Alligator mississippiensis: one gene and its partners. The protein of the gene in region 1 purifies or fractionates together with the protein of each later gene. This does not show direct contact. Links are inferred from orthologs where the notes say so. Each region holds a gene or a part of one and is shown in the gene's direction. Other genes may lie near its edges.

What was found.
Region 2: the proteins of CBX1 (region 1) and PRR14 purify together in Homo sapiens (affinity purification with mass spectrometry; 3 studies listed by BioGRID and IntAct, counting the BioPlex papers as one, with this or other methods). This does not show direct contact. The link is inferred for Alligator mississippiensis from reciprocal best matches to the Homo sapiens genes CBX1 and PRR14.
Region 3: the proteins of CBX1 (region 1) and EHMT1 purify together in Homo sapiens (affinity purification with mass spectrometry; 3 studies listed by BioGRID and IntAct, with this or other methods). This does not show direct contact. The link is inferred for Alligator mississippiensis from reciprocal best matches to the Homo sapiens genes CBX1 and EHMT1.
Region 4: the proteins of CBX1 (region 1) and ADNP purify together in Homo sapiens (affinity purification with mass spectrometry; 6 studies listed by BioGRID and IntAct, with this or other methods). This does not show direct contact. The link is inferred for Alligator mississippiensis from reciprocal best matches to the Homo sapiens genes CBX1 and ADNP.

What each region holds. Positions count from the first base shown.
Region 1 is NC_081827.1:167,748,312-167,755,702, reverse strand, and holds the start of CBX1 (chromobox protein homolog 1), read left to right. Parts: upstream 1-4,376; 5' UTR 4,377-4,574; intron 4,575-7,391. UniProt on the Homo sapiens protein: Component of heterochromatin. Recognizes and binds histone H3 tails methylated at 'Lys-9', leading to epigenetic repression. Interaction with lamin B receptor (LBR) can contribute to the association of the heterochromatin with the inner nuclear membrane.
Region 2 is NC_081830.1:1,289,282-1,296,476, reverse strand, and holds the start of PRR14 (proline-rich protein 14), read left to right. Parts: upstream 1-4,188; 5' UTR 4,189-4,262; intron 4,263-4,493; exon of another isoform or gene 4,494-4,606; 5' UTR 4,607-4,712; coding exon 4,713-4,786; intron 4,787-5,860; coding exon 5,861-5,999; intron 6,000-6,416; coding exon 6,417-6,582; intron 6,583-7,195. Other genes in the region: ITGAL (integrin alpha-L), read right to left, coding at 128-236, 3,102-3,153. UniProt on the Homo sapiens protein: Functions in tethering peripheral heterochromatin to the nuclear lamina during interphase, possibly through the interaction with heterochromatin protein CBX5/HP1 alpha. Might play a role in reattaching heterochromatin to the nuclear lamina at mitotic exit.
Region 3 is NC_081835.1:51,863,413-51,871,231, forward strand, and holds the start of EHMT1 (histone-lysine N-methyltransferase EHMT1), read left to right. Parts: upstream 1-4,812; 5' UTR 4,813-4,851; coding exon 4,852-4,914; intron 4,915-7,819. UniProt on the Homo sapiens protein: Histone methyltransferase that specifically mono- and dimethylates 'Lys-9' of histone H3 (H3K9me1 and H3K9me2, respectively) in euchromatin.
Region 4 is NC_081832.1:12,681,929-12,688,845, forward strand, and holds the start of ADNP (activity-dependent neuroprotector homeobox protein), read left to right. Parts: upstream 1-3,903; 5' UTR 3,904-4,217; intron 4,218-5,028; exon of another isoform or gene 5,029-5,211; intron 5,212-5,784; exon of another isoform or gene 5,785-5,985; intron 5,986-6,917.

The sequences.
Region 1 (7,391 bases):
GAGGGTCCAGAGGAGGGCCATCCGCATGATCTGGGGAGAGCAGGGCAGACCCTACAATGAGAGGCTATGGGACCTGAACCTGTTCAGCCTTCACAAGAGAAGGCAGAGGGGGGACCTTGTGACCATCTATAAACTCACTAGGGGGGACCAGAAGGGTTTGGGGGAGACCTTGTTTCCCCTAGCGCCCCCTGGGATAACAAGGAATAACAGCCACAAGCTGTTGGACAGTAGGTTTAGATTAGACAGCCATAAGAACTACTTCACAGTTAGGGCAGCTAGGATCTGGAACCAACTTCCAAGGGAAGTGGTGCTGGCTCCTACCCTGGGGGTCTTTAAGAAGAGACTTGATGTCTACCTGGCTGGTCATTTGAGCCCATTTTTCTTCCTGCCCAGGCAGGGGGTCAGACTTGAAGATCTACAAGGTCCCTTCTGACCCTACTTCTATGATTCTATGATCTGCTCAGGTCCCTTCTGACCCTACCTACTATGAAACTATGTGGGGAGCGATGTGCTATGGGGCAAGATGGGGCTGGCCCTACATGTTGCAGCAGCACATATGGGGATGGGTGGGGCTGAGCCCACTTGCTGCTACCATGTACAGCTGGGGACCGTGGTGGGAGCGCAGGAGCTGTACGTTATGGGGCTAGGCTGGCCCTGCATGCTGCCACCATGTGTGGCCAGGGACTTGCACAGGAGCATTATTGGGCTGGGTGGGGCTGGCTCCGCACACTGCCGACATGTGCAGCCAGCGACTTGGGTGGGAGTTGCGTGTTATGGGGCCAGGCAGGTGGCTTGCCACCACCTGCAGCTTAAGGGACTCTCACACTCCAAGGATGCTCCCCCACACCTCCTTCCCCCAACATGCCCCCACACCCTCCGCCACCACATACCCTGCACCCACACCTACCCACTATATCTACACCTCCCACACCCAATATACAAGAGTAAGGCTGTATTTTGAACTATTATGGAATCACCTTGACCCAAGGGGACAATAAGAACCCCCAGGCGTGGGTCGTGGTGGAGACAACCCACTGCAACAATGGGAAAAAAAGGCCTGAGAAAAGGGCAAACTTGCCTCCCTCAGGCACAGCTGTACTGGATGAGCCACAGAGGGGTGCTTTTCTCTGCAGCTGAGGCCGGTGCGGCCCAATGATGTCATCCAGGAACACTGCCCGGCAGGGATACAAGTCGGCGGTGGGGATGCAGGAGGGAGGTAGTTGTGGGACTGCCCCCGCCCCCGCCCCCCCGCCACTGGAATGGAGGTCCTGGATGCACACAAGGAGGGGCCAGAGAGGGACCCAGCAAGAGGGTCCAAGGCCTGATTTAAAGGGCCACATCATCCTGGACAGCGAGGGAGTTGGCCCAGAGGAGGACACTGAGAAATGGCGATGCCGGCAAACATAGGACGCGTGAGCGGGGTGTGGCCAGAGACCCTTCCCTGGAATTGTGGTTCTTTAGTTACATTTCAGTTACCTTGAAGCCCTGGGGCCAGAGACAAGGCCAAAGGGCAGACACTGAGGGTTGAGCGGGCCAGGGCCATTTAGAAGATCTGAACGTGGATAGACTAGACCCATCATCGAGGCCATCACACTGCCCCAGGCAAACCTGTGTGGTGGGAAGAAAGACTGTTGCAAACACTGGGGACTGGAGAGGCAGAGAGGGAGTGGGATACCACATCAATTTGAAGCCAAATTGCCCATCATTCAGCAGTTCTGATGAGCTGGTGCATGGCTGGGGTGTAGGGGAGGTGGAGCCCCAGGAACGCCTGCTAGTGATGACGCCCAGTGCGTTCCCCATGACAGAAGGGAACCCTACTACTGAACATTAGGGTTGTGCAAAGCAGGCCCTACTAGATTCAGGTTCATCCCAAATGGGGGACCGTGATTTGATTCGTTGATTCAGATCACTGTCCCCGATTCGATTTGGCTGAATCCGAATCTGAAGATTTGATGCTGATTTGGAGAATCAGCGATTCGGCCACAGACACAGCTTTAAAGGTTTTTTCTACATACCTCGAGGTACCAGGTACAGCTTGTGAATGCTGTGATGCTGGGGTGGATGGAGCATCCCACAGGAGCATGGAGGGGCCCTTGTATTCAATCAACCGCAGGTGGACCCTGGATGCCCCCCCAGAACCAGGAGGCACTAGTTGCCGAGCTGCGGGGCGGGGGCGGACACCCAGTGTGCTTCCCAGTGGACCTGGAAGTGGACTGGATGTGCTTCTGGTCCACTTCCAGGTCTGCTGCCAAGCGCGCTGGGGAGTGCCCCGTGCTCCTTTGGAATACTCTATGCGCCCCAGCTTCTCAGCGTTTATGAGCCACCTGGTACCTTGAAGTATGTAGAAAAAACATTTAAAGCTGTGTACGTCCAAATTGCTGAATCTTTCCAAATCTCTCTGATTCGATTTGGAGGGTTCCAATTTGATTCAGAGAGATTAAAGTGTCTTCTGATTCAGCCCAATTTGGTGGCCGAATCTGAATGGAATCTCCGCCAAATCGAATCAGCAACTGAAGCTTCGCACAGCCTTACTGAACAAAACACCCAAAATGTGGCAGGAAAGTACTGGGGTGTCCCCTGAGAAGAACATGACCCCATGTCATGACAGCAGGAGCCGTTTGCGTGGCAGGCCCCTAGTGCGTGCTCCAGAGCCGCATCGGAGAGGCTCCACGAAGTCAGGTGGGCGCACACCTCTAGATACACTATGCAAACACACAAATCGGGACAAAATATTTTTTAATGAAAATTAAAATGTTATAACAGATGTTTGGGGGGGGGTTTTGGGTTGTTTTTTTTTAAGTATATGATTTTTTTTCCCCTCAGTTTCACAATAGCAACTCCCCTTCCCTCCCAAAAGGAGTACTTCTGGGGCAATGGGAGGGACTTCAGGTGGCAAAGGTCAGGGGTTAGGGGTGGGACTTCTGGTCCCAAGATGGCGATCAGGGGGTGGGGCATCTGTCAAGGGGCAGGGCTACATCTTGCCCATTAAGATGCTTTCCAGCTGAAATAATTGCCCACCCCTGTGATTATAGCATGTTGGTCTATGTCTATGGTATCATGGAACAATACAACCTAAAGGTATGGAGCTTTAAGGTGGAGTAGGAGCACGTTATCCTATGTAGCATCACCTGTGTGTCATTGCATGGTTCATCAGCCCCAACCATTTTAAAATTGAGTTAGGCTCCTAGGAGGTGTAAGATTTCAAGAAAATATAAGAACCACAGCAGTCTTTTTGCAGACCTTTTTCATAGGGTTCTCAAGCATAAGGCCGACCAACAACTTCTGTTCCCCTGTCTCATAACACGTTGAATGACGAGGTAGAAAATTCAAAGCAAGCGGCCAGGAAATGCTTTTCATGCTATGTGTTAGATGGCTGAACAAGTCACCTCAAGAAGGCTTGGGGTCACAAATATGCCCTGTGACATAAATAGCAACAGAGAAAATGAGAAGAGGGCATTACACCATATGTTTGAGGGCTTGTGTCAGTCTCTAAGCTCTAGCAAGGCACCTTTGAGACAATGGGGTGGGGTGAAACCCCCTCTCTTCTGCCATCCCTGCCTTCTTGCCCTACTGCCTACAGCTCCTTCTGAAGCAGCGTTTCTCAACCCGTGGGTTGCAGCCCAAAAGTGGGTTGCAAGAATACATGAAAGGGTCAGGCATGAACTTTAAAAATGGGTTCTCCTTTAAAGGTGAAAAACGGGAATCCCTGGCAGGCTGGCAAAGGTCCAGCCTGCAAGGGGCTGCTTATGCCCCCCTGCCCCACACACTGAGGGTCTGGGGGTGGGGGGCAGAGAGTCGGCGGTGAGGGGCACTGGGTCAGGACTGGCCATCGATGTTTACAAATGGGTCCTGGTACAAAAAAGGTTGAGAACCACTCTTGAGGACAGTGGCAGAGGCAGGACATGGGGCTGCACGGAGCTGGGGGCTTCTTCTCCAGTCTGTGGGGCTGTGTTCCCGCGCTTTGCTCTAACATTATAGTGACAAGCATCATCATTGCTTTGTTATTCTTACTGTCGTTATTTTCATTGATGCTGTTCTGCATTTCCAAAGCTCCCTAGGATACAACTACGCCCTCCTACTCCGCGCTGGCTCATTGAGAACTCCCCACCCCGCCTCAACCTGACTTCACTAAAGGCGGGACGCAAACAGCAACGCGGAGCCCGCCACGCATGAGCACCGCTACCGCAAAGCTCAGCAACTCCCCCCCACCCCGCGTCCACTTCGGCGCGCGCAGGCATGTCAGCCCCGCCCCTGCCTACAACTCCCAGCAGGCCGCTAGGTAGAAAGCGCGCGGGAGGCGGTGGGACTCGGCCTCCCAGCATGCCGCGTGAGCCAGGAGCGGAGATTGAGGGAAGGGGGGTTGGCGCGCATGCGCGGTGCGCTCGGCGGGCACTCGGGCTGGCGGGGCTCTTTTGTTTGGCGGAGGCGGATTGCTAGCGGCCGGGCCTGCGGTGCCGCGCGCACCGGAGCGTTACCCGCCCTGCCCAGCCCGGTCCGACCCTGTCCCGCCCCGCCGCGCCCTGCCCGCGCGCTGAGCCGTTTCCCCTCGGGTGCTGTTGGCGGGGCTGTGAAAGGTGAGCGCCGCGGGGGGGGGAGAGCACCGGAGGGGCGGGGCGCGGCCCCCGCGGGGGAAGGGGCGGGGCTGCACGCGGGGGCGTTGGCGATGCTGTAGGATGGGGGGGCAAGTACGAAGCGGTGCCTCCGGGGGGGTAGAGCTGCAGTGGGGGGGCTGCGTGCAATGGGGGCATGTGGGGAGCAGCCCCCCCGCCCTTGGGGAGCTGGGGCTTTCCCGGGGGAGGGGCGGGCTGGAGCTGCGCCGGGATAGGGGGGAGGGGGCAGCTGCCTGAGGGCAGGGCGGGCTGCGCGCCTGGGTGAGGTGGTGCTTGGGGGGGCGGGGCTGGAGGCTGGTGCTGCAGCAAAACCAACCTGGGGGGAGAGGGTAAGGGATGGCAGAGATGGGAGCTACTCCTGAGGGGGTGATGCTATCTGGGGGTCTTGCAGGTGGCAGAACTGTGCTGGAGGTGCCAAGCCGGCGTGTAGCCACCACTGTGGGATCCAGGGAGTCAGGATTCAGGTCGAGGGGCTGTTCTGCTCTTCCAGCTCCCAAGGAGGAAAAAACCCCACAAAAGCAGGGCTTATTCTTTTTGGACCAAAAGAGGAGGAAAAACAAAACAAAAAAAAAAGGGGAGGGGTGGGGAGTGCTTCTAAGCCTGAGCATCACCGTAGAACCATCTCTGGGACTGTTTGTGTTGCTGCCTTTCTGTGCAGCATGTTTCTGATGGGGTTGAACAGCCGCTGCTAGGTCTCCTACCCAAATCCAGCCTCCTGTTTGTGTTGGAGATGCAGGTAGTGAAACTGATGAGAAACGGAACTAGGCTGGTTTAATCTCGCTGTCTACTCAAGTGAAATGTAGGCATGGCAAGTGAAGGCAGCTTGGATGTGCTGGTAATACAGGGAAAAGAGCATTGGAGTGTAGTGGGGAGGAGAGGGGGCTGAAAAATAAACTGCTATTCAGACCTGCCCCGCTGAATACTAAAAACGACAGCGTTGAATGAAGAAAGTACCATTAAAACAGGGGGAATAAGAATATTTATGGGTGCGGAGATGTCTTCCACTCATGGAGGTGCTGGGTACTTGGGAAATACATACCACTTTAATCGCTGTTTCCCCTGTAGCGTCTCCAGATCCAAATTTATTTTAATTTAAAAAAGTAAAACACAAGTCTGTGCTTGGGCTCTGCCAGCATTTCCCTGATTAGCTGGAAGTATAGGAGTACCTCTGTGTGTGCCTGCTGCTCTTTCATGTAGAACCTAGAAAGCGTAACTTAAAGAGAACTCCTGTCTTTGAATTCCTTCTTGCTTTTCTCTGCAAAGAAGCAGTATTTCTACCTTTTTATGCACACTTTCCCAAGCTTCAGAGATTTGTTTCTCTCTCAAGTTGTGAGTGCAGTTGAAGATGATGAGGGGATGCATACTCAAATTCCCTTTGAAGCCAAGGTCGTCTTTCTTTCTACAGTTTCAGCTCAAAGGCTAGCAATTCTGGAAAGTTTGAGTAAAAGCCTTTCTGCAGTTTTTCAGGTTTTGGAGCCTGGAAATGTTAATACACTTCTTCCCAGTTCAAAAGAAACATGCCTGCTGCTTTTTCCTGGCAAGTGGTACATACATATGCCATGTTTTTAAAGTCCTGAAAGAGGAGTAGGACTTTAGCCAACATTAGGAAGGGCGGTAGGAAGTATTTCAAGTTAAAAGCATGAAAGTAGCACTTAAGTCGCAAACCTGTAAAATGTAGTGACTGCACTTGGACTGAATGTATTCATATTAAATAGGTCAGATAATCTTTTTGGGTCATCATATATTTCCTGCTTATGCTGACCTAATCTTCTCTCTTTAAACTGTTTACATTTAAACCAGTTTAAACTATGAAAGCTTCTACAAACAAGCCTTCCCCCTCTATTATTGCACTTTCTAAAAGGATTCTTGGGAGCATATCCCTCTTGCTAACAGCACTGCCATTTCCATCTGAAATGGTTGCTGATGGTCTTGTTTGCTTTACAACTCTCACAGTACCTGGGCACAGCCTTCAGAACATCTCACCCAACACTAAACACCTTTGAAAGGCAAGGAACAAAAATGTATGAGTCAATTGGACACTAAGTACCAGGCACTTGACAGACAGTGATTTCATGGTCCATTATGATGTACTCGATTCTCTGCACATTACAAATGATAATGACCCTTCTGAACAACCTTGTTCTTCTGTTACCAGGCTTTTACTGTATCTCTCTTGCCTGTTGGTTACCTGATCGTTTCTCTTATACCCTGGTTTTATTTACATAAGGTGTTTTGCACAAGCTTTTTTTCCATCTACTATGTAGCTTTGCTGTGTTCCCACAGTCCTGAAGAAGGATACTATCATATCTATAAGCTTGCCTCTCCCAACCATGCAGTTGGTCCACAAAAAGATACCATCCACAAGAATTTTCGCCTCTTGCCCAACACCCAGATTCTTTGTCTCTGAGTTACTGCAATAATGCATGTTCTGCAGTGTCGTTGATTCTGGCTTTTGCTCCTGCATCTGCTATTCTTGTCCCACGAAAGCAAGTTTTGTATACGTTTTTGTGCTGGGCCTCTTTCTTTGTGGCCTTTTATTGGGGTTTAAATTCTTTTCAAGCAGTTGAGGCATGTGTATTTTTGGTTTAATTGCTGACATGAAGGCCCTTCTCCCTCCAGTGTTTTATTTATCCTTTATAAAGAATTCCAACCTCACCCCAACTTTAAGGTCTTAAGGTGATGTCAGGTGAGAGTGGGAAATATCAGTAGAAATCTATTTTGATCTTTGTCAGAAAATTATTTTCAGTGCACTGAGCTCTTTTCCAGGCACAAAGCAAAAGA
Region 2 (7,195 bases), on another chromosome or scaffold:
GCCTCCCTAGAGATCCCAGGTGTCCGGGCTCTCACCCCCCAGCCCCACTCCCCTCCCCTCCCCTCCCAGAGAACCCAGGCATCCAGGCTTTCAGCCCTCCTCTGACCCACCTCGGGGCTGCCCCTACCTGTCATTCCCAAAGTGCAGGACCTGGTGCCCAAAGCTGGGGCCGACATCAGGAGCCAGGACAACTGGGTGGGCCGTGTCGAGGTTGTACCCAAGGGTGGGGGCCGGACCTAGGGGGATACAGAGCAGAGGCAGAGATCCTTGTTATACCCAAGGCACAGTGCCCACCCCAGAGCCAGCTGCAGCTACATTATACCCAACCCACGATGCCCACCCCAGAGCTGGCTGCAGCTCCATTGCACTTGGAGCCCGGTGCCCACCCCAAAGCCACAGCTCCACAACACCCAGCACCCATCAAAGAGCCAACCACAGCTCTCTGACACCTGGCCCCTGCTGCCTACCCCACAGCCAGCTGCAGCTTCATTTTACCCGGCCCATGACACCCACCCCAGAGCCAGCTGCAGCTCTGCTACACCCAGCCTCCAGCACCTACCCCAGAGCCAGCCACAGCTCCGTTATACTCAGCCCCTGACACTCCCCAACTCAGAGTCGGACGCAGCTCTGTTATACTCAGCCACTGCCACTCCCCACCCCAGAGCTGGCCACAGCTGTTACACTCAGCCACTGCCACTCCCCACCCCAGAGCTGGCCACAGCTCCGTTACACTCAGCCACTGCCGCTCCCCACCCCAGAGCTGGCTGCATCTCAGCCCCAGGCACGATGCTCTGTATACCTAGCTACTGGCACAACCACTGCGATTGTTACTGAGCTAGGGATGGGGTGTTATCCTCATCCTGTGCCCCCCCCTTCCCTCCCCCAGCTGTTCTAACCAACCCCCAATAACGAGCAAAACAGGAACCGGTGGCAGTGTCGAAAGCCTGAGGTCAAGCCCAGTGGCCTGGAGATGTCCTCCAGACCCTGCCTCCGCCTTGCTGGAAGACCTGGGCTGTGGTTGATCCCTTTAAACCGGTCTCAGATCCACATTTGGTTTTCGGTGCGGGGGGGGCAATCACTGCAATCTCAGGCGGAGCTGGGGAAGGAACCCAGGCATCCGGGTGTCTCCTCTGCCCCATCCCCGCCCCGAGATAGGGCGGCCCACACCCAAGAGCGCAGTCCGGTGGGTTACAGCGGAGGGACCCGACTACCCGCTTCGCTCGGAGAACCCAGGGGTCCAGCCCCCCCCAGTGAACGCAGGCGTCCGGGCTCCCAGCACCCTCCCCACCCCCCTCAACCTCCATAAAGCAAACGAGAGACACTTATTTTTCCGCTGCATCTTACATGTGTAAACCACAACTGCACAGGAAGTCACTGTTCTGGCCCACACGTTTGCAAGATTAAGGTGATTGCATATGTGCACGCTTGTGTGCATACACGTGTGCCCCCGGGCGCCTGGGTCCTGCAGACATCTACCATAACCGCCTGCCACCTGCCCTGCTGCTAAACGTCAACCCGCCCCCACCTAAAACCCTGACCTAAAAATGTGGACCCCGCGTGCCTGGAGCTGCACGTTTTTAGCTTGCTGCTTTGCCTCCTGGTTTCCGAATGGGAACTGGTGAGGTTTGGTTTACCGAGGGGGTTACAAGAAATAATGGCCACAAGCTAGCAGAGAGCAGATTTAGATTGGACATTAGGAAGAACTTCTTCCCAGTTCGAGTGGCCAGGGTCTGGAATGGGCTCCCAAGGGAGGTGGTGCTCTCCCCTACCCTGGGGGTCTTCAAGAGGAGGTTAGATAACCATCTAGCTGGGGTCATCTAGACCCAGCACTCTTTCCTGCTTATGCAGGGGGTCGGACTTGATGGTCTATTGGGGTCCCTTCCGACCCCAACATCTATGAATCTATGAATCTATGAACATTTGGGGGGACTCCTGGCTTCTGCTCTCCCGACTGTGGGCTCCTTTTGGGTGAAAAAGGATAAAACGAGGGGGTTTGTCTGTCCCGGCTCGAAGCCTAAGGCCCGACGGGGCAAGAGGCAGCAGCATGACACCGAGGGAACCCGGGCGAGGGCCAAGGGGCCAGGCATGGCTGTCGCTAAAGGCCGAGGGTATTGGCCCAACCGTTGCTAAGGGCTGGTGGCACCGGTTGGGCCTATCACTAAGCGTCCAGGACCAGACAGTTGCTAAGGGCTGAGGGCACGGGCCCAGGTGTTGCTAAGGGCCGAGGGTGCTGGCCCACCAGCGCTAAGAACACAGGCCCAGGCGGTTGCTAAGGGCCGAGAGGCCGGGCACAGCTGTCACCGAGGGCCACCGGTTGTCTCCCCCCGGATGACTGGGATGGACCACCCTGGCCTTAGCATGGGGGCGGGCAATTATTTTGGGCCAGGGGGGCCGCTTTCTGAGTTTCGGCAAGCCATCGAGGGCCGCAGGACACAGCTAGGGGCAGATAAATATTCATTTTCTACACGTTTTAGGGGCTGGACAGAATGGCCTGGCGGGCCGCATCTGGCCTGCAGGCTGCATTTTGCCCACCCCTGCCTTAGCATCACCTTAGCGACTGCCACTAAGGGCCCAGGCATGGGACACCCGGCACGGGATGCCCCTAGCAACGGATGTGCCTGTCCCTGCCGACTGAGGACCCCCGGCTTCAGGCGCCCTAGCAACCGAGGGCCCCCAACCTGCCTGCGAGGGGCCAGGCCAAACCGCAGGCAGGTGTGCTCTCACGCCTGACGGCGACCACGATGACATGCAGCCCCGAGCGCGGCTCCGCTGCCCACAGCTGGGGCCATGCAGGTCTGGGTGTGGGTGGGCTCCTGCACCCCACCCAAGTCATGGGGCAATAAGCAGATTGGTATCTTGTCCTAGCTGCCCCCGTCCCCGACATCCCTGCTCTCACCTCCCAACTGCCCCCTTAACCCCCCACAACACCCTTTCCCCTCCCCAAACCACCCCCCGCAGCTGGCAGGATGCCCTCTCCCACCCCCGAAACACCGCAACCGCCCCCTCCAGCCCCCCGGTTCTTCATGCTGGCAGCCTCGGAGCCATGCGCACGGTGCCCCCGGCAGTGGCTTGTGCCCCCCTACCCCAAAAGCACGACCCACCTCTCTGGGCCCCCCCCAGCAAGAGCAGGCAGAGGGCGAGCGGCACGGCCATGGCGCGCTCGGGCTCCGAGCCGCCCGGAGCGCTGCAGGAGGCGGCCGCCCCGGTACCAGGAACCACACGGGGAAGTGGTGGAGCGGGTTTTGCACGCTGCTCGTTCCTGCGTGGGAGCCGGGGGGGGGAGCAGGGCAGCTTCCTTCCGTTCTCTCACCCCCGCTTCAGGTGGCGGGGGGGCAGGGGCAAGGGCAAAGGCAGGGATGTGTCCGGGGCTGTACGTACCCAGCATGGCACGCGGTCCATGGGGTCACGTGGGTTTTATAGGCACCAAGTCCCAGGGGTCAATACAGAGGGACGCAGATTGGGGTCCCCTGGGAGGGGAAAGGCCCCTGGGGCAGCTGGGAGGGCCGCGATGCGGCCAGCTCTGGGGTGGAGCAGGTGGGGAACGGCCGAGTTGAACGCTGCAGGAGGACAGCGCCCCGGGGCTGGTGCCTATGGATCAGGATGGGATCGGCCCCCGGAGAGGAAAGCCCCCTGTCCTGCCAATCCGTCTGTCTGTCCAGCAGCGCCGGTCCAGGATTTCCGTGATGACCGGTCGCTACGGTCACCTGGTCCTCGGTCCCTCCTAGGGCCTGGCGCTATGCTCTCTGCTGGACCACTGGGGTAAGGCCCCCAGGCCCTCTGCTCCCACCCCCAACCGCAACCCCAGGGGCCCACGAGTCTGGGGTCCAGGCCCCCCCACCCCGCCCCAGCCCTCCCCTAACCCCGCCCAGCCAACGCCTCGCCCTCACCTAAGATGGCGAACCGCAAATGAAGGCGCCTGCCCTTACCCAAGATGGCGCCGATCTGACTCGTCCCTTCTTGCCCTTCCCCGACATGGCGCCGCCCTGCCCACTCCCGAGATGGCGGCGCCGCCTCGGAGGCGGGGCCTCCGTCACGCTGCCGGTGCCCTTGGCCAACATGGCGGCGGCCCCTACCCGAACCCTGGAGCACGGCCCGCTCTGATTGGTCGAGGCGGCAGCAAGACGCCTGGCTACTGGCTGCCCGGGCTGGCGCCGCGTGGGGGAGGGGGGGCTGGGAGGGGACAACATGGGCAGGGACAGGGAGGGAAGGAGGCGGGGGCAGTAGAGTTCGAGCCGCCGGGCGGCGCAGAGCGGACCACAGCGGTGCGGGGGGGGGGCCAGGCAGGCAGGCAGGCAGGGAGGGGCGGGGGCAGTAGGGGATGGGGGGGCTTGGTGTGGGTGGGGGGCAGTGGGGGACCCCCGTGGGACGGGGCCAGTGAAGGGGTCCCTGGGGGGCAGTGGGGGAGCAGGCAGGAAGGGCTGGTAGAGGGGGGGGGGCTCTGGGAGCAGGGGGGTCTTTGGGAGGGGTCCCTGGGGGGCAGTGGGGGAGGCGGGGGGCAGGGGGCACCCCGAGGGTGGGGGGCGCGATGGGGGCGGGCGGCCGCGGGGCTGCACAATGCGGCCAGGCCTGGGGTGGAGAGCAACGAGGTGTGGCTGCTCTCCCCCAGGCAGGGACCACCCCCCCCCGGGAGGATGAGCAGGTGCCCGGGGGTCTTGGCGCACCCCTAAACCCCCAGCCGGGGCCGGGGGGGGCAGCTGACCCCGGGCCCGGCCATGGAGCCCCCCCTGGACCCCGACATCATCTCCGCCTCCGAGCGCCTGGCCCGGCGCCGCAGACTCGTCTACAGGTGGGGCTGGGGGCGGGTGAGAGCAGGGGCCTCGAAATGGGGCTTTTTTAGGCGTTCCCCCCCAGAAACCCCTTTGTTCTGCGTGATTCGGAGTGGTGGGGGCTGCTCTGTTGCACGCAGCGCCCGCTGTCCTCTCCTGCTGCCCCCCGCAGCGCGATGCCTCGCAGCCCTCCCTACACCACGTTGGATATGGATGGCTCTTACGTTTCCTAGCTCTTCTCCACCCCAGAACTGGTCGCATCTGAGTTTTTTTTCCCCCAGACAGTGTTATTTGCGGCCGCTTTTCCTCCTTTCTGCTGCACCCCAGACCTAGCTTCGTTCTCGATGTCTCTGGACAGTGTTGTATGCAGCTGTTTCTTCCCCCGCTTCTGCTCCATCCCGCAGTTGGCTACATCTGATCTCTCCTCCTTCGCGATCTATGTAGCTGATCCCTCTCTTTTCTGCTCCACCCCAGAGCTGGCTGCACCTGAGCTTCTTCTAGACAGCGTTATATGTGGCCAGCCCCTGTTTTTTCTGCTGCACCCCAGAGCTGGCTGCCCCGAGCCCTTCCTGATCATCTCCAGGCAGGATCGTCCCCCCAGATGCATCTTTGCCGCCCCTAGTCCAAAGTGAACAGCCCTGTGGCGTGACCCAAAGACCCCCCCTCCGATGCCCCTGGCCCTCCTCCAACTGGCTTTGGGGCAGGGGGCTGGCAAAGGGGGCACAAGCTGCTCTAACCATGCATCTCGCATACAATGCACCCTCAAGAATACCCAGCGGCTGCATTTCTGGAGAGAAGGGGTGCATTGTGATCAAAGACATACAGTAATTGAAGCTACTTTGGGTCAGATTGACCCCGAGAGCCCCCTGGCAGAGGAAGTGTACCCCCCCCCGCCCTGACTACAGGGGAAGGCAACCCGTCTTCTCCTCCCCCCCACCTCATTTAACCTTGGACTTGGGGGGTGCTTTGGGCCCGGGGGATTCTGTGGGGGTGCCTGGCCCCAGCTGTTTTGGGGCTCGGGCCCGGGATGGAGGGGGTGGGGGGGGATTGGTGGTCAGTGTCGCCCCGCCCTGAGCCCCTGTACCCCCCTGCAGGCGGCCCGCGGAGGAGCAGGCTGCGAGGCCAGGGGCCCAGGCAGGAGCCGCACTTTGGCAGGTGGCCTCCCCCCTGGAGCGGTCCCGGCGCCGGGTGCTGGCCGTCACCCTGGAGGAGTGTCCTGCCCCCCGTGCCCCCGTGAGCTGGGCTGGGGGGTGCCCTGGGGTTGGGGGGGAGGCAGGAGGGAGGTTATCTGAGTTGAGGGGCAGGGAGGGGGAACTTTGAGAGCTGGGGGGCCTGGTCTTCCCGAGTTGGGGGGCTGGGAGTGGGGTCTCCTGGGGCTGGGGGGGCAGGATAGGGGGTTTTCTGCATGTGGTGGGGGGCAGAAAGGGGGGGACAGGTGGTCTGGGAGGAGTCTTCCAGGGCTGGAGGAGTGGGTCCCCTGGGTGTGGGGGGTGCTGGACAGGGGTCTTCCAGAGCTGGAGGGGGCCTCCTGGGTGTGGAGAGCGCTGTCTCCCAGGGCTGCAGGGGGTCCCCAGGTGTGGGGGCCAGGGAAGGGGGTCTCCCAGAGCTGGGGCGGCCTTTTAACTCTGTACTTGTCTCTGTCCCTCCCAGGTGTGCCAAGGGGCATCATCCCCCTCCCTCCAGGAGCCCCCCACCACAGGAGATGGGACAGATGAGATGACAGGGCCCAGCCTACCAGTTGTGAGGGGGCGGAGCCCTGGGGCTAGCTCCTCCTCCTCCTCTTCCTCCGACCAATGGGAGTGCTGCCGGCAGCCAGGTAGGCGGGGAGGGGGTGTATGGTGGGAGGGGATAGTGGTGTCTGAGGGATGGGGTGGAGTCTCAGCGGGTGTGGCCCAAAGGTGGGGCCTCTGGGGGCGGAGCCTGTAGGGACCAGGGGGTGAAGCTTGCAAGGAGGGATTTCTGATTGGCAGGGCCTGTAGGGAGGAGGGATCTAGGGGGATGTGGGTGGGGTCTTTGGGGGCAGGGCCAATGGAGGGCTCTCCAGGGGGTGGGGCCCAGTGGGAGGGGGGGAGAGAGAGAGAGAGAGAGATCAGGATAGGGGGCGGGGCCTGGGGTGAGGGCGGAGTCTCTGAGAACCCCATGGAGGCATGCCATGTAGGGGAAGGGCAACCAGGGAGGATCCAGAGACAGGACCAGCAGGGGTGCAGCGCCATCTTGAGTAAGGGCAGGCACCTTCATTTGAGGCCTGCCATCTTAGCTGAGGGTGAGGCGATAGGATTTAAAGGGACAGCACGGAAGCATAGGGCCCCCCCACTTCCTTTGACCACGCCCCCTTCATGAACATGCAGTAGTCACCACGGATGGGTCTCTGGGGGCGTGGCGGGTGGGCTCAGGGGCGGAACTAACCTGCCCCCCCGTCTGCCCAGCAG
Region 3 (7,819 bases), on another chromosome or scaffold:
TTTTCATATGGATGTCTGTCCATAGTATTACAAAATTGGGTGGGAGGCCAGGAAAGGGAAAGACCATGAACTTTACCAGCAGCGTCGTCTGTAAAATGATCTCCAGCGTTTCGATGGAGTGTTGCAGCAGAAGTGAGATTGAATGTAAGCAGCCATTTTTACTGCCTGCTTTCCTGGCAGAAGACTATGATCATGAGCAGTATGGCTTTGCACTGCGCATCTACTGAAATGTCTCTGATTCCTACCCCATCTGTCTTTTTCCAGGTGTATAAAAACAGTAGCAACACCAACAAAACAAACTGTTGCTGTCATTAAAGTAATAAGCTTGATCTCTGTTCTTGAAGATGGAATATGCTTGATACATTCAGCACCCTTCTCGGGCAAAACTTTATTTGTACAGTAGGAGCTCTTACGTGCAGTAGTTGAATGAAGAAGGGAAGAGGTTTCAAAATGGAAATGCTGACTGCTAAGTTTACTATGTGTTAAAGCTGATGGATTTGGTACATTTGCACTGTGAGGGATACAATACCTTCTAAGTTACAAACCTGTCAGCCTATTAGAAAGTTAACCAGTTAGTTCTGGGTTACTGTATCAATGCAATGAACACTTGATTAAAACACAGGACCATTTCCTGAAAAGCTTGTATCTCACTACCTGTTGCCACTGTGTAGGTTTGTGTAACATCCTCTGTGCAGAGTCCCTTGGCATTTTTGCCCTTCAGACTGGCTTAAAAACAGCATTTAACTTTGTTGTAGTTTTGGCTTAAAATCTTTGAACAGACCCAGGTTTCAGATTGTGAGGTAGAACATGAGTCCAGGAGCCTGCTCAGTACATTTCAGACTGGGGCTTCTCGCCCTGCAAGGTGTTCAATGGGCATTTGGTGTCTCCAGCATTGGGAATTGAGGGGGATTCAGCACCTCGCAGGAACGTACCCCCCTAAAGATTCATTGAGGGAGGAAGGAGGCATTTTAATAACTTGTTGTGAAGCTGATGAGTAATTTTTAACAACAGGGGAAAAATATGAAAGCTCCTTTTGGAATCCTAATTTATTTTTATAGACGGTTTCTCTACCCCTTAAACTCTCCTGTTCACTATGTTTTTAAGATAGCCGAAAAGAGAAAAAGCAGCTTCGGTGCTGGGTAGGGTATGAAAACAGCAAGGGAGGCAAGGCAAAATCAAAAAAACTCCTGTATTTTGCTGGACCAAATATTGGTCATCTTCTGACAGTAGAAACATTTTCCCTTCCCTCCCACTTTTATTTCTTCTTTAAAAGAAGCTGTGAAAATGACACATGTAATGGTGTAATTAAGCAAAAGCCCTTAGGAACCATGTGTGCTTTGTTGAACAAAGGTTGTCGTTCTGCTGTCTTTTTCTCTCTTTAAAATGTGAGATCCTAAAAGGATATTCAAGCCTCGAATCTCAGAACAGGCCAGAGAGCCACGAGTTTAAAAATATCTGCTAGTTTTAAGGTCCTGGGCAGAACACATTTTTAAAAAGCAAAGTGATACAGTGTCCCTAGCAAGGCAACCCACACAAGATACAGTTTGATGATGACCTTGCTTGGGTTAATTTGAGAGAAGGGGGAAAGGAAACAAATCTTAATTGAATACAAATGGCTGGGTTTTTGGTGTTGTTTATGTGCTGGTTCATTCCACTAGCAACAAATCCTTAGGAAGTCCACCTCGGTCATCTTCATGACAGCCTTTCCTGGCAAAGGTGGGGAGGAGAGATCAATGCAACGTGATTCTACTTTTCTGAAGTCACCGAATAGTTAACTTGTGTAACCATCTTCTTCCCTGGAATGTCAGTTTTCTCTTTCCATCCGTGCCTGTGCGTGCGTGCACATGTGTGTCTGTGGGGATATTTGCGTGTGGGGTACAAAAGATGGCTCCTTTTAATGTCTTGCAGGATCTGTTTAAAAAGAGGTTGTATCTGTGCTCTCCCTGACTTCCATGAAATGGCTGCAGTTTCCACAACACTAAGACGGCTGAAAGGAAATGGTCTCCTCTCTGAGCATGCTTACTGTGGCACACGGACCTGTAGAGGGAGCTAGGTCATGTGGCCAAAGCAGGACTGTTGTTCATGTGGACCAAGTAGGAAACAGAGCAAGAAGCACTGTAGCTTCCATCAAACAGTAAGCACCTTAAAACACGACTACAGCTTCGTCCTGGGCATTAAACAGTAACATGACAGCATTTGGGTCTGTCACGACACAGTTAAACTCAAGAGCTGCGAACAAGTTTGTTGTTCAACTTCACTCCTAGGTATCGTAACTGATTATCTCCATGCGATTTGCAGCTTTCCATGAAACGGTTTTAGTTCCAAAAGAAGAGATTTATTTTTTTTATTTTTTTGCTCCTGAAGCAGACATGATGCACATACCAGTGTCGCTTTAGGAGACTGGCCTTTGAATGGCAGTGTGGTGCAGCTAATGATGTGTGAGATTTTAAGGGCTGCTTAGGAGCTCATTTTTTCTCTTTGGACTTCATAAATGTAAAGAACTTGACCATAACCTCAATAACTAATGCACAAATCATGTTGGTCCTTTTGTACAGTGTCACTGTGACACTGTGAAATGTGCCTGGTAAGATGCTAATTGATTGTTTTGCTTGAGTTTTCAGTGAATTGTTGAAGTGTCCCCAATATGCTGTTTGAAAATGTGTCCGTCTGTAAGGCTTGGGAAAAGATGCTTTCAAAATGGAGGGGAGACTTGAAAAACAAATTGGCATCTGCATTAACTTCTGTTTTCCATGTATTTTTAACTTTAGCAGTGAAAACATTTCTAGCGTTGAGCTGCAGTAAGAAGTGCTGTCTTTGTGAGCCTACTGAAAGAATGAATACTGTAACATGGTTTGAGAGAAATTTTAGCTCTAAAAATGTTTTGACTATATTACCTCTTTTGCGTTTGCAGTTGTTATGAAATTCGTTGTATCCCCTTCCATATTTTTTGATGTTAGGTTTATAAATTCATGCTGCAAAGAGGGATAACAGTAGACAGACCTATTTTAGGGCTGTCTTTGGTTAGAACTACAGTATTCCTTTTGTTGCAGTGGATAATATACCTTTGTCTGTCTTGTCAGGTTTTGTTGTTTTTTGGGTGGTTGTCTTTTGCGTTTTTCCTTTTTTATATTAAAGAGGTTACCGTTACATTTCCAGTGATTGAAATAAAGGCCAGAAAAAAAATCCCATTGATATGCCTTGTAACTTAAAGCTATTTTAGAAAAACAACCCAGGAGTAAAGGTGATATCCTCACTTCCTTCTGTCACCTTAAGTTTCCTTGATCAATTTTATCCTCTCAATTTTGCCTGGCATGCTTTAACCATTTGGTAGTGAAACGTGTCTGAAGTGCTTGGAGAGAGGAAAAGAGCATCATTTTAGTAGATGCAGTGCTATGGAAGATTGCTGTTGCTGTTTTAACCATTACCACTTTGCAAATGTCTATGTGCAAGATGGTGAAGTAAATGCATGGGGTGGAGAAAATTGATATTGCTTGTTTCCAGTGTGTGATAATAGAAGATCATGACAGTCTCTTGCATTGCTAAATAAAGGGAAGAAGGGCAATCTTGTAGGATTCGCTTCACTGTGAAAACTAGAATTTAGTGTACTTGATTCTCGTGCATTGTCTAAAAGATGTAAAATTGGGCTTTTCAGCTTCTCACTGTGAATTTTCATGTGTTTTCTCCCTTTGTGCAGGCCAGGCTTTCCCTCTTCATCTCAGTTCATTGTGATGCAATATGTTGAACTAGTGGCTATTTTAATGTTGAGCCTTAAAGGGAAACTTCTTCCTCAGTCCTGCTTTGTGGGAGAATTGCATTTTTCCATGTTGAAGAACAAGCAGGAGGTACTTGACTCCATTTAAGAATTTCCCTTCTTTCTCTCTTCTCTTCCATCCTCCCTTCCCCCTTTCTTGTGGGAGGTGCTCCAGAAAATATTAAACATAAAGAAACCCACGTACGTTGGCATTGTGATAAATATGTCACTTTTTGCATTTGAATCCAGTCCAGCTGATCTCTGCTTACAGATGTTCCTGCGAGTTGCTCAGGCAGTTTTACTGGGAGCTATAGCAGATATGAGGGTTGCCAAGACTTTGTGCTTAATTGTGAAACGGAACAGAGACAAACTACTTGTGATTTTGAAGCTAAAATTTCTTCTTTTATCCTGCTAGCTGGGCCAGTTGTATCTTATGGTTCGACATAGGCTCAGCTCAGGAAAGTATTAGGTGCAGTACTTCTATCAGTTCATTCGCTTTTTTTTCTTTTTGATGATTATGTTTCTGATACGTTTTTAAGGTTGGTAACGTAAGCTCACATTGTATTATAAATCTCTGAAGTGAAAAATTGACGGCCCTTCAACTCAGCGGATCAAATCTCAAATTCACTTTCAGTTGGACACTGTACATTTGCTGATTGACCCACGTGCATTTATCCCAGCATTCAAAAGGCGCACAGTTTTATTAAGCAGAATATAATTAGCACATGCGCCCTCAAATGTAAATGCTAATAGGCAGCATCTCTTTTTCATAGGCAAGGAAGGGCTACTCTTGAAGGCCACTGTAACAGAACACATTGTTGCATGGTTTTTAAGGGGGGTTTTCAGGCTATGATCAGTCTTAGGCTTGGCATTGTGTCAGAATGTTGACAGATTATCTTTATTAACTGTGTATTGTACCAGGACAGACGCTGTATCCCTCTGATGCCTTAGATAACAGTTGCTCCAATGGAAGCCCTTAAGTCTGCAGGTTCTCTGTGAAATGGCTGCAGCTTGGAGTGAACAGTGAAATGGTCTCCACTGGGCATGCTCACTCTGTAGAGGGAGCTTTTATCACATGAGCAGAAACTGAATCACTGTTCATGAGGATCTGGAATATGCAACTCTTTGAGTCTTCATCAAAAGAAGACAACAGATGTCTGCAGGTACAGTAACTTGTAGTGTCCATGCTCCATATGTCATAAATAGCAGATTCCCTCAGGTTGTGTCCGCAGACAGACTATTGTCAGGTAGAAAAGGAGAAACCTTTGAGAGGAGGAAGACAGTTAAGATAATCATGGCTGGATTTTGTATTTATTTTGTTGTCCTATGCAAGAAAGAACAGCACAGCAGAAATGTGTGTATTGCCTAGTGAGACAGCAGCGTGCAGGATGGGGTGTGGGCTTTCTTTCAAAGGAGGAGATTTAGAGAGTGGCCAGGGCAGGCGCATGCTTTGCAGACTTTCTGGCTGCTGTGATGACTGTTTTGTTCAGTAAACTTGTACACAGTTCTGAGTCTTAAATGATATGTGTCTGTCTAAGGAAGCTGGCACTCCGATTCTACAAATCCAGTGAGTGTCTACCTTGTCTTTTTGTTTGGAGGGGTGTTCCTGTTTAGCATGGAGTCTCTTTCAAGTGTTTGGTTCTACCTAGGGCTCCCCCTGCCCCTCTTTTCCATTTCATATTGGAGAAGGGGGGGTCTTTAAACTCTGGGAAGACCAAGCTTTCAAAGACAAGAGAGGGCCTGCAGAAGCATTTCACCTGCTTGCTAGAAACAGTTTGACAGCCTTGGCTGATGCCAAGCAAGCCTACAGTTCAGTTTTTGGGATGGCAGGAGGGCAAAGGTAGCCATTTATTCGGAGAGGAGAATCCTTTCTTCATTAGCCTGTCATCCAGACGAGGGACTGAGTGAACCATTGGGATTTTCTTTTATTTCATGGCAAAAGCTGCCTGCTGGCAGGCTATTTAAAATGTTGCTTAAAACTGTCACATCTCACTCTGCCATGTTGCTTTCCTGTTTACATTCTATGTTAACAGCCTCCTGGTCCTGTCTGTGATCGACAGAAATAAAGACCTTCTGAGCTAGGGTGTGTACTTCAGTCTTGACCTTCACTGTTGTCCCTTGATTATTGCAGAGCTGCCAGAACTGTGGGTGATGCTACCACCCCCTGCTGGCCTGAAAAATTTAGGCTGGAGTCTCACAGTTGTTGGTTTTAGAGAAAGCTTTTACTGTTACTTTAATAGATATTAATTTTTTATCTACGGGGAAGAAGCAAAAATGCCATCAGAAAGTAAGGGGAACGATGAGAAAAATGTCTGCCTGCTGGACTGCAAATGCTATCATGAATGTTGTCTTGCGAGTGCAGGTTGAAAGCATGTATATCAAAAATGACGGTGAAGAAACAAACAGGGTTTCTTTTAAAAACTATTGAGAAAAAGCAAATTCCTTGTCTGAAATCTTAAGCTGTAAGTTCCTTTCCAGAAACCTTGAGGTTTGAGTTGCAAATGGGCTTGTAATAAAGATGCTGAGGCAACAGAGATTACCACTGGGGCAGACATGTGTCCGTATGATATCATGACTGTAGCGCTATCAGCACGATAGACTATTCCTAAGCATTTTGAGCAGTCCAGGCATACAGACTGACCCCTGGTAAATGCCTTCAAAAGATGCTACCGTCCATCTTTATATATAGCTTTAAAATTCTGGGTCTGTCTTCAGCAGCATAGGGGTTAATAGCCATAACCTTGTGTGTTCAGGTCTTCATTTGTCCCTGTTATTTGAAACTAACCATTATGCTTCTTTTGTGTAGTCATAATGCATATGGCCTACAGTAGCCCTTCAAAAGACATGGAAATTTACTAGCCCAGATGCAATCTATTTGACTGTCCCTGTCACCGTTATACTAGGAGGACTGGGGAAGAGGGGTAAATTACTCTCAATATTTTTTTGATTGTCCCCAAACCAATGGGTAGGTCGAATTTTTCTAGTCTGATCTGTTTGCATTTCTGTACTGTTCTGTGGAAAACGCACAAAAATGTAATGCTGTTTGGTTAGATGTGGAATTCGGGATGTGCTGGAGGATTCAGCTGAATTTATTTATTTTTTAAAAATTTTTTTAGGGCATTCAGGCAACTGATTTGCAGAGGTGCTCAGTACCTGCAGCTCTTGTTGCCTTTATCTTCAGTTGAATGCTCAGCATCTTTCAGAATCATGCCCTCCATAATCAAGACTTGTCTGCTGACATTGTCACCCGAGGGTGGTCAGTGCCCTTAACTCTTCATTGAGCCAAGGGCAGTCCTCATCTTGCAGGATCAGGCTGGTTCTGCGTCTGGATATCATATGGAACACGAGCATTCGGGCTGGTTGTATTGCAGTGCTCATTTATTTCCTCTTCTCCCAGGATTTGAAACCTACCTAGTAACACTGGTATGCTGCAAGAATCCCAATGCCAGTGTGACCTTTCTTGTGTGGTACCATCTCCTAATGACAAAGGATCACATTCTTTTTGTACAATGGAAGGGAAATTTTTCATTCAGACGAATAAGGACATTTAGAGACCCTCTGCCCTCATGACCAGCAGGTTTGTGGGGTAGGAGGCAGATGGTACCTTTTTTTTTTTTATTGTTCCTGCTTTCCGCACCCCCCCTCCCTATACATTTCTTTCCTCCTGTTTCTGCTCCTGATACTTGGAAGGGTCAGACAATCAATTTGGAGACTTCTGTCAAACTGGAATGACAGAATAACCTTGCCTTTCACTTAAGGGCTAAATACTTGAAGTACTGAAAATCATATGCTAACTGCTGCAGTAGGCTTGAAGCTTGTGTTCTTCCTGTGCAATCTACCATCAGCAATTTAGAGACAAATCTCACATGTCACCCTTGCTACCTTTTTCAGAGCTTTTTTTTTTATTACTGAAAGTTTTTAGGGTTTTGAAATCAACTTCCCTTAATAGAGAAGAACCTGGAAGCTGTAACGTGATCTTCCCTTTATGTCCTGTTTCCGTCATTCTGGTATGAATTCAGCTCCCCCCCACCTCCTCCTCCCCTCCATGCTTTTTATTTGAACTTGATT
Region 4 (6,917 bases), on another chromosome or scaffold:
CATGTAAAAAGCAAGCAGAGGAAAAATGTTTGTCAACTTTGCTGTTTTGCCTTACAAAGTGTCAAAAATGGGGAGATGGCCTTTCTACTTCTCCTTCTCCCATCTTTGCAGGTCATCTTAAACACCATTACTCATGTTCCCAATCATGTTGCAACCTTAGTGTCAACCTTGACTCCTCCTTCCTTCTGTTCCACCTTGCTAAGCATTTGACCCACTGTTTCTATCACTGAAGTTAGGAGGAAAACTCCAACTGAATTCAATGGAAGCAAGACCAGCTCTCTCATGTGTTATTTCTTATACAATATTACAAAAATTCAGCCTTTGCTCTTTGCTGCAACTATCAAAGCTTAAGCTCAAGACCTAGCAATCTCTTCCATTGACAGTAATGCCAACTGTCGCAAAACCATTCTGAGACTTGGAATATCAAAGTCAAAATAATTCCGACTTGCGATCTCCTGATCCAGCCCTCACCAGCTGGGAAAATCCAGACATTTAAGTGTAGGGAAAGGGGTGGGGGAGAGGGAAGGGACTGGGAGGAGATCGAGGCCCCCACGGTGAGGGAGGGAGTGGGGCAGAAGCAGGGGTAGGGGTGACTGGGACCCCGGGCAGGGGTGGGCTGTCCAGAGGTGCGGGGAAGAGGCACAGTTCACAGCAGCAATGCACATCCCTGGGGAATGCACGGGGGCATGTGTCCCCCACAGGGCAGAGACGGGCTGGGGCTCTGCACCCTGCTGCCTTGGCCCAGGAGCTCAGCCACACAACCCCAGTGCAGTCAGGGGACTGGAATGACAGCTGGAATGTCCATAGTATAGGTGCATATGGAGGACAGGGAAAAGAGAACTGAATGTTTGCCCTCCAGATGTTCTGAGCTGCCAGAGTGGCCTGCAGGTGACTGGGGGAAACTCAACAGTAGTTAGAGAAGGCTCAGGGCTGGTAGCCATACCCAAAAATAGAAGTGATGCAAATATGACTTCAAGCCTCGAAAGCTCATGTCTCCTGGGTCACAACTCTGCGGTTCTGAGCTGTGCTTCTCTAGACACTCTTTCCTTCATACACACTTGCATTTTCATATTACCATTAACATGAGGAACAGCTTCCTTTAAAGCATTTGTAAAATCTTACCTCTGCTTTCCATTGCTTCCTCCTTTGTTTCATGAATCTTGCTCCTCTTCAGTTCACGCAGCTCTCCCTGTATGCTTTTCTGAAACAAACGTGCCTTCAGACTGCAAGCTCTGTGGTCCAGGAACTTTCCGTTTTTTTCATGTTTTTATTATGGATTTTACTTGCTATAAAAGCTGTATCCATTGGCAGTGCTACATAAATAATTACTAATGCAGATTCTAAGAAAGTTTCTGAATATCAGAATTTACAAAGCTTTCCTCTTTTGGTGCTCTCATACTTTCTTTGATACTCTCACAGATTTTTTTCTTCATTTTTTTTCCATGTGGTAGGAATACCATTCAAAATTCCTGGAAAGAGAAGTGTTACTATTATACTTTAAGGAATGACTTCAACTGACAAATAAAAGAATAGCCATTTATATGTTACATGTAATAATCTCCCTACAGTTCCTAAGCATAATGGCACATAACATAATTAGTTTACTGATACATCCCTCTCAGCCCTCCAGTTTCTAAATGCACCCAAATACCCCGAGGATTGTCTCAAATCTAAATTAATGCTTGGCGACTTCAATTGCATTTATCTGTAACTACTATTCATTTTCTTCAGTTAGGTATTTTTCTGTTCAATGTAAATCATCACCATTACTTAGGAGCATCTGCTCAGAACAGGTAGCTGCCATAGAGGTTATTCTTCTACCACAATCCTCTCTGATAGCCAATCTAATGTAAAGTTGTTGTTTTTTTCTTTTAGGGGTGAGGGGAAAGACTGTGTGAATAGTAATACTGTATTAAATGTGTTGCAGACAGCAAACCACTACTAAGATTGTAATTGGCTGTAAAAGGAAAACCAAAATTTTAACCAGCTAGAGCCAAGTTAGGAAAATAATAGCATCTGTTGTATTGCAATATCAGCAAGTAATAGCCAAAATGGGATCGAGTATAAGAGTAAGAGAAAAAAAAAAAAAAAGAGGGAAAACGTAAATGTCATAAAGCTTCTGTAGATCTGTTTTTCTTCTTACATACACTTAAGTGGACGTGAAGTTTCATAGATTTCATAGACATTATGGCTGGAAAGGACCTTGGAAGATCGAGTCCAGCCCCGGCCCGTTAGCTGTTTGCATCTAACTGATCTTGACTGATCTACATTTATCATAAATACTGTTCATCGTATTTCCTTATAGTGCACTATAAGGGGTTTTTATAAACACGTACTCTTGCAAAGCAAACTAAAGTTATGTAAAAGTCAAAACACTATTTTACTTTGTTTAAAAGTTGCAAAAGCATCGCCAGGTTGCACGATTGAGACCAACTCAACCTCACCTTTCTAGAAGCCCAACAGCAGTAAACAGCATGAACAAATTTGTTGGTACAAATAAGTCCTGTGTGTTTTCGTTCAGTTATAAAGGAAATACTTTTAATGACTTACTATTTCTTATGTTCACTAAAGTGAATTTACTGCGAAAATGCATGTTTAAATTCTGGAATGATTTGCAGTCATTGACAGAGTAACTGCTAATATCTAAATTAAAAAAAAAAGTCTTAACCAAGGTAAAGTTTGTAGTATTTACTACCTATCTCAACATGAACATAACTCTTTGTGCAAAGCTTCCTCTCTTCCTCTCCTTCCCTGTCCTTTATATTGAAATGGCTTTATTCCTTTTCATTTAGTACCCCACGTCTTTTAAAAGTCCGTCCATAGCATCTGACAAAGTCGGCTGCGTCCTACGAAAGCTCGCGCCTCCTTGAACGAGTCAGGAACCACCTCGCCCCACGTCAGCATTTGCAAAATTGGAGGCATTTAAAAAAAATACGGGACCTAACACTCGTGAAGCACAAGTAACTTCCGGCAAGCGTTTCTACGTTTTCAACGACGATTCGAAGAACTTGTCGGGTCGCTCCCTTGGGGTCCGAGGGCTTCAGGAAACTGACATCCCCCGCCACGTGGTGCGCGGGACAGACCAAGCTGTTCTGCCTTGTGAAAGCGTGCCAGCACTTTGAAACGAATGGAGGCCTTTCGTCCCTTGTGACCTGGCCTGTAGCTTTGGGCCCCAGTGCTGAGGGAGGGCGGGCCGGCCGGCCGGCCAGGCGCTACAGCTCTGAAATAACACCCTATCCTTGTGGCCCTACAAGGACTCTTGACTGTCCCTCCTCCCTCACGCCTCGTGAGGGACGAGGCACAGCCGGGCTCCCCACGTGCTGCGCGCTGGGCCCCCAGCCCGGGCCCTCGAGCGGGGAGCGGGTGTGAGGGCGGCCCCACCCCCCGCCTGCGCGCGCACACCAGCGCCCCCCCCCTCCTCCGCACACCAGCGCCCCGGCACGAGAGTGCGCGCTCCGCCGGGGTCACGTGGGGCGTCACGTGGCCCGTGTGCGCCGGACTCGTGCTCCCGCCCCGGAGCGAGGGGCCCCTCTGGGCAGGATGTAGTCCCGGCCGCGGCGGAGGGATAAGCGCGAGGCGCCAACTCCCTCTCCGGCCCAAGCCGCAGGGCGCGGCGCCTCCTAGCGGAGCCGGGGCAGATCCCGCCGCCCCTCTCTCGCGAGAATCCCCCTGCCTTCCCCCTCACTACCTCCGGCGGGGTTATGTAACCCGCTCCCCCACCCCACCCCGGCCTTAAAGGGCCCGCGCCGCGGGGAGGGGATGGGGCCCGCGCGGGCCGCGCTCCATCGGGGCTCGGGCCCCCTCCCCCCCGGGGCGCGGCCCCCTCCCCTCCCGCCGGACAATGAGTCCCGTATGCTAATGAGAGTCTCGCGTCACTTCCGCTCTTTCTCGGCCGCCATCTTGGCCAGGGCAGGTTCTGGGCAGGAGGGACCCGGCTGTATTGTCTGCAGGGCGCCCGGGACCCCCGCCCCCGCCCGACACCCCCGCCCGGGGCCGCCGCCCGCTGCCCGCCCGCCCGCCGCCCCCCCAGACACGCGCCTCCCGCCCGCCCGCCGCCCCCTTTGTCTCCCCCGCGCCGCCGGCTCCTCTCCGCTCCGCTCCGCTCCGCCCGCCCAGGGACCCGGGCGGCGCCAGGGAGGCAGCGCCGCGCACCCCCGCCCCCCGCCGCGGTGCTGCTGCCGCGCCCGCCCCGCGCCGCCGAGGAGCGCCCCAGCCAGGTAGGTGCGCGCGGGTCCGAGCCCACCCCCCCCCCCCTCCGCACACATGTTGCAAAGACTTCCCTGCCCGGGCCCGCGTGGAGGTGCCCCGAGTGCGGCGTGAATGGCCGGGGCTGCGGCGGCGGCGGCGGCGGGGTGGGCTCGGCGGCCGGGCCGGGCGCGGGAGGGAGGGAGGGAGGCCGGACAGCGCTGCAATGAATGGAGCCGGGGCTGCCTGCTGGAAAAGGCGCGATTCATGGCCGGTGCCTGGAGATGGAGTAACGTTCAGCCAGCCACCCCCTCCATCCCGGGCTGCACCTCCTGCAGCCCATTGCTCAGACAAAGGCAGGGGAAATAAAGCCCCGCGATGCTGCTTTCTGTCTCTGCCACTGCAGGGTCTCCCCCATGCCCCCCTTCAGATTGCCTCAGGTGATGCTTGCAGGCGCCGTGGCTTTGCAAGAATAAATGCACCTAAGTGTGTGGTCCCTTTTTTTCTTTTTTCTCTCTTTTCTCCCCCCCCCCCTGTTTCTTTGCATTCAATCTGTATTGTTGCTTCTGGTATCTGGCCATGGAAGAAAAATACCAGCCCCCACCCAAAATGCACCGCAGCCAAGTCGGTGGCGAGGAGAGATGAGGGTTGGAGTCAGTAGGGGGCGCGTTCTCTACACCGGGTAAGGCTGCTGCAGAGAGGGGGAAGGGCCCCAGATGCACAGAGAGGAGCTGCCACACAGCGCCTTCTACAGACCTGGGAAAACGGGCCTGGCCCTGAACGCTCAGTTGCTCTTATGAGCTGACAACAGCCTGGCGCAGGGTTTAGCAAGTGGAGCAGTGATTTAAAAAATCTGATCACTTCATTTATTTGTTTTCTTTTTTTGAAATTGCAGCTGCCAAAGCGTGTTCTTGGCATCACACCTGAGTTTCCCTTGCCATCCTTGGTACTGCTTCCTACTTAATACTTTCATTCAGTTCGTAGGGGTGCGTTGACTCTGCCCACTTGACTCAACTGTTAGCACTCCTGAAGTTGACAAAATACTTGTATTCAGAACTTGTACAGATGAAATGGGGAATTTGAGAGAACAAGAGCATGTGCAGGATTTCTGCCTCTTTACCAGGCTTGCGTACTGAACTCCATCGAGAATGTAGTAATTGTATAAAAACTTGATCGTGGCTTGTGGTGCCATCTGCTTTATAAACTTTGCATGGCTTTTTCACACATTCTGAATGCATGGCAGTAGCGATGTAGAAACTTTAACAATATGGTGTGTTACTCGAGCGCTGAATGCTTTATCTGTAGACCGACTAGGCAACATGCTGGTTGGACTCTTGGAATTCACTAAAGTTTTGATTCCCCCCCCCCCCCCCCCAACTTGGTAATTTAAACTTTTTGACAAAGGCATAAGAAAGAGGTTTTGAATATTTTAAGGGAAACTATGACACATGATGCTTCTGCCAGCCTCTCACTTTCAACTGAATATTGAGTATTTTGTTTTTTGTAGAGGAAAATATGCACTTGAGGAAAAAGGATGAGACGTTGTCGCCACATGTGCAACAGAGCATGACCTATGTTATTCAGTAAGAATAAATTTACCTGGCTGCTTGGTAGCAGTAACCTGTATTACGTGCAGGCAGCTTGCATTCAGTTTCCTGTTCCTGGGTCTCAGCTGAACCATCTGGAAAAACTCAACTTTCACTCCAGGAGGATTGTAATAGTAACAGCCAAGAGGATTCACTGGCAGTTACCTTCCTTCCAGATGAGGAAAATGGGCCATCTCCTCAAAATTGGTTATCACTTTTAATGCAAAACAAAAAGATCAATTAATGATCTGCACTATTCTCGATATATATTTACAGATGTTAGACAGTGATTTGGTATTAACATCAGTGTAGTGAAGTCTCAGAGTATTAAAAGAAATGACAGATGAGAAATATACTCTGTTGCTACTAAAAATTGCCACTTGAGGCTGATTCATTGTAACATGGTTGTTAAATCTTTGTTGAAGATGCTTTTAGTGCACACTAAGATAAACCTCAATCAGAACAGAAAAGGTGTTATTTTTGATGCACAGTTAACATATATCTATACTTGAATATTAAGTAGAATGTTAAAATGTGCAAAGAAAACTGACAGTTGGCTTTTATTAGACATACAGGTTATGAATATAATATAGTACTCGGTGTTTTGGTGGGTTTTTTGGTGAGAGTTTTGCTACTTCAGATTTACTTTGGAAAGTGCGTGCAGTACAGAGGTAAAATATAGCAGGTCATGAGTTCAGAACTAAAATTGCTAGGAAGATTCTGTAATCTTCAGTGAGAGACTAAGAAGCTTCTCAGTATGTGTAATACACAGTACCATTTATCAGAAGATGTCCCTTGGCATTTCTGAATTTGGTATTAACTATTTCCAAGGATGCCTTAAAACACTTTAAGCAAACAAATAATTGAAGGAACTTCAGCTAAACAATTTGTTAACTATGTACTTTCTGAAGTGGACTCTCTGGGTTATGAATTGGCTCTTAAATTAGAAATTCAGTCAGCTTTAACCCTTCTAAATAAGTGCTGGTATAAGCCTACTTGATAAGGTAAGTTGTGCTTCCCATCATGCTAGCCTGGATAATGGATAGTTGTTCCCTCCAGTTTTAGCTTTCCATAGTAATTGAAAATATTGAAACTGACTATTAAAAGGTCTATAAAGCAGTGTTTCTGAAATGCGTAACCATGTCT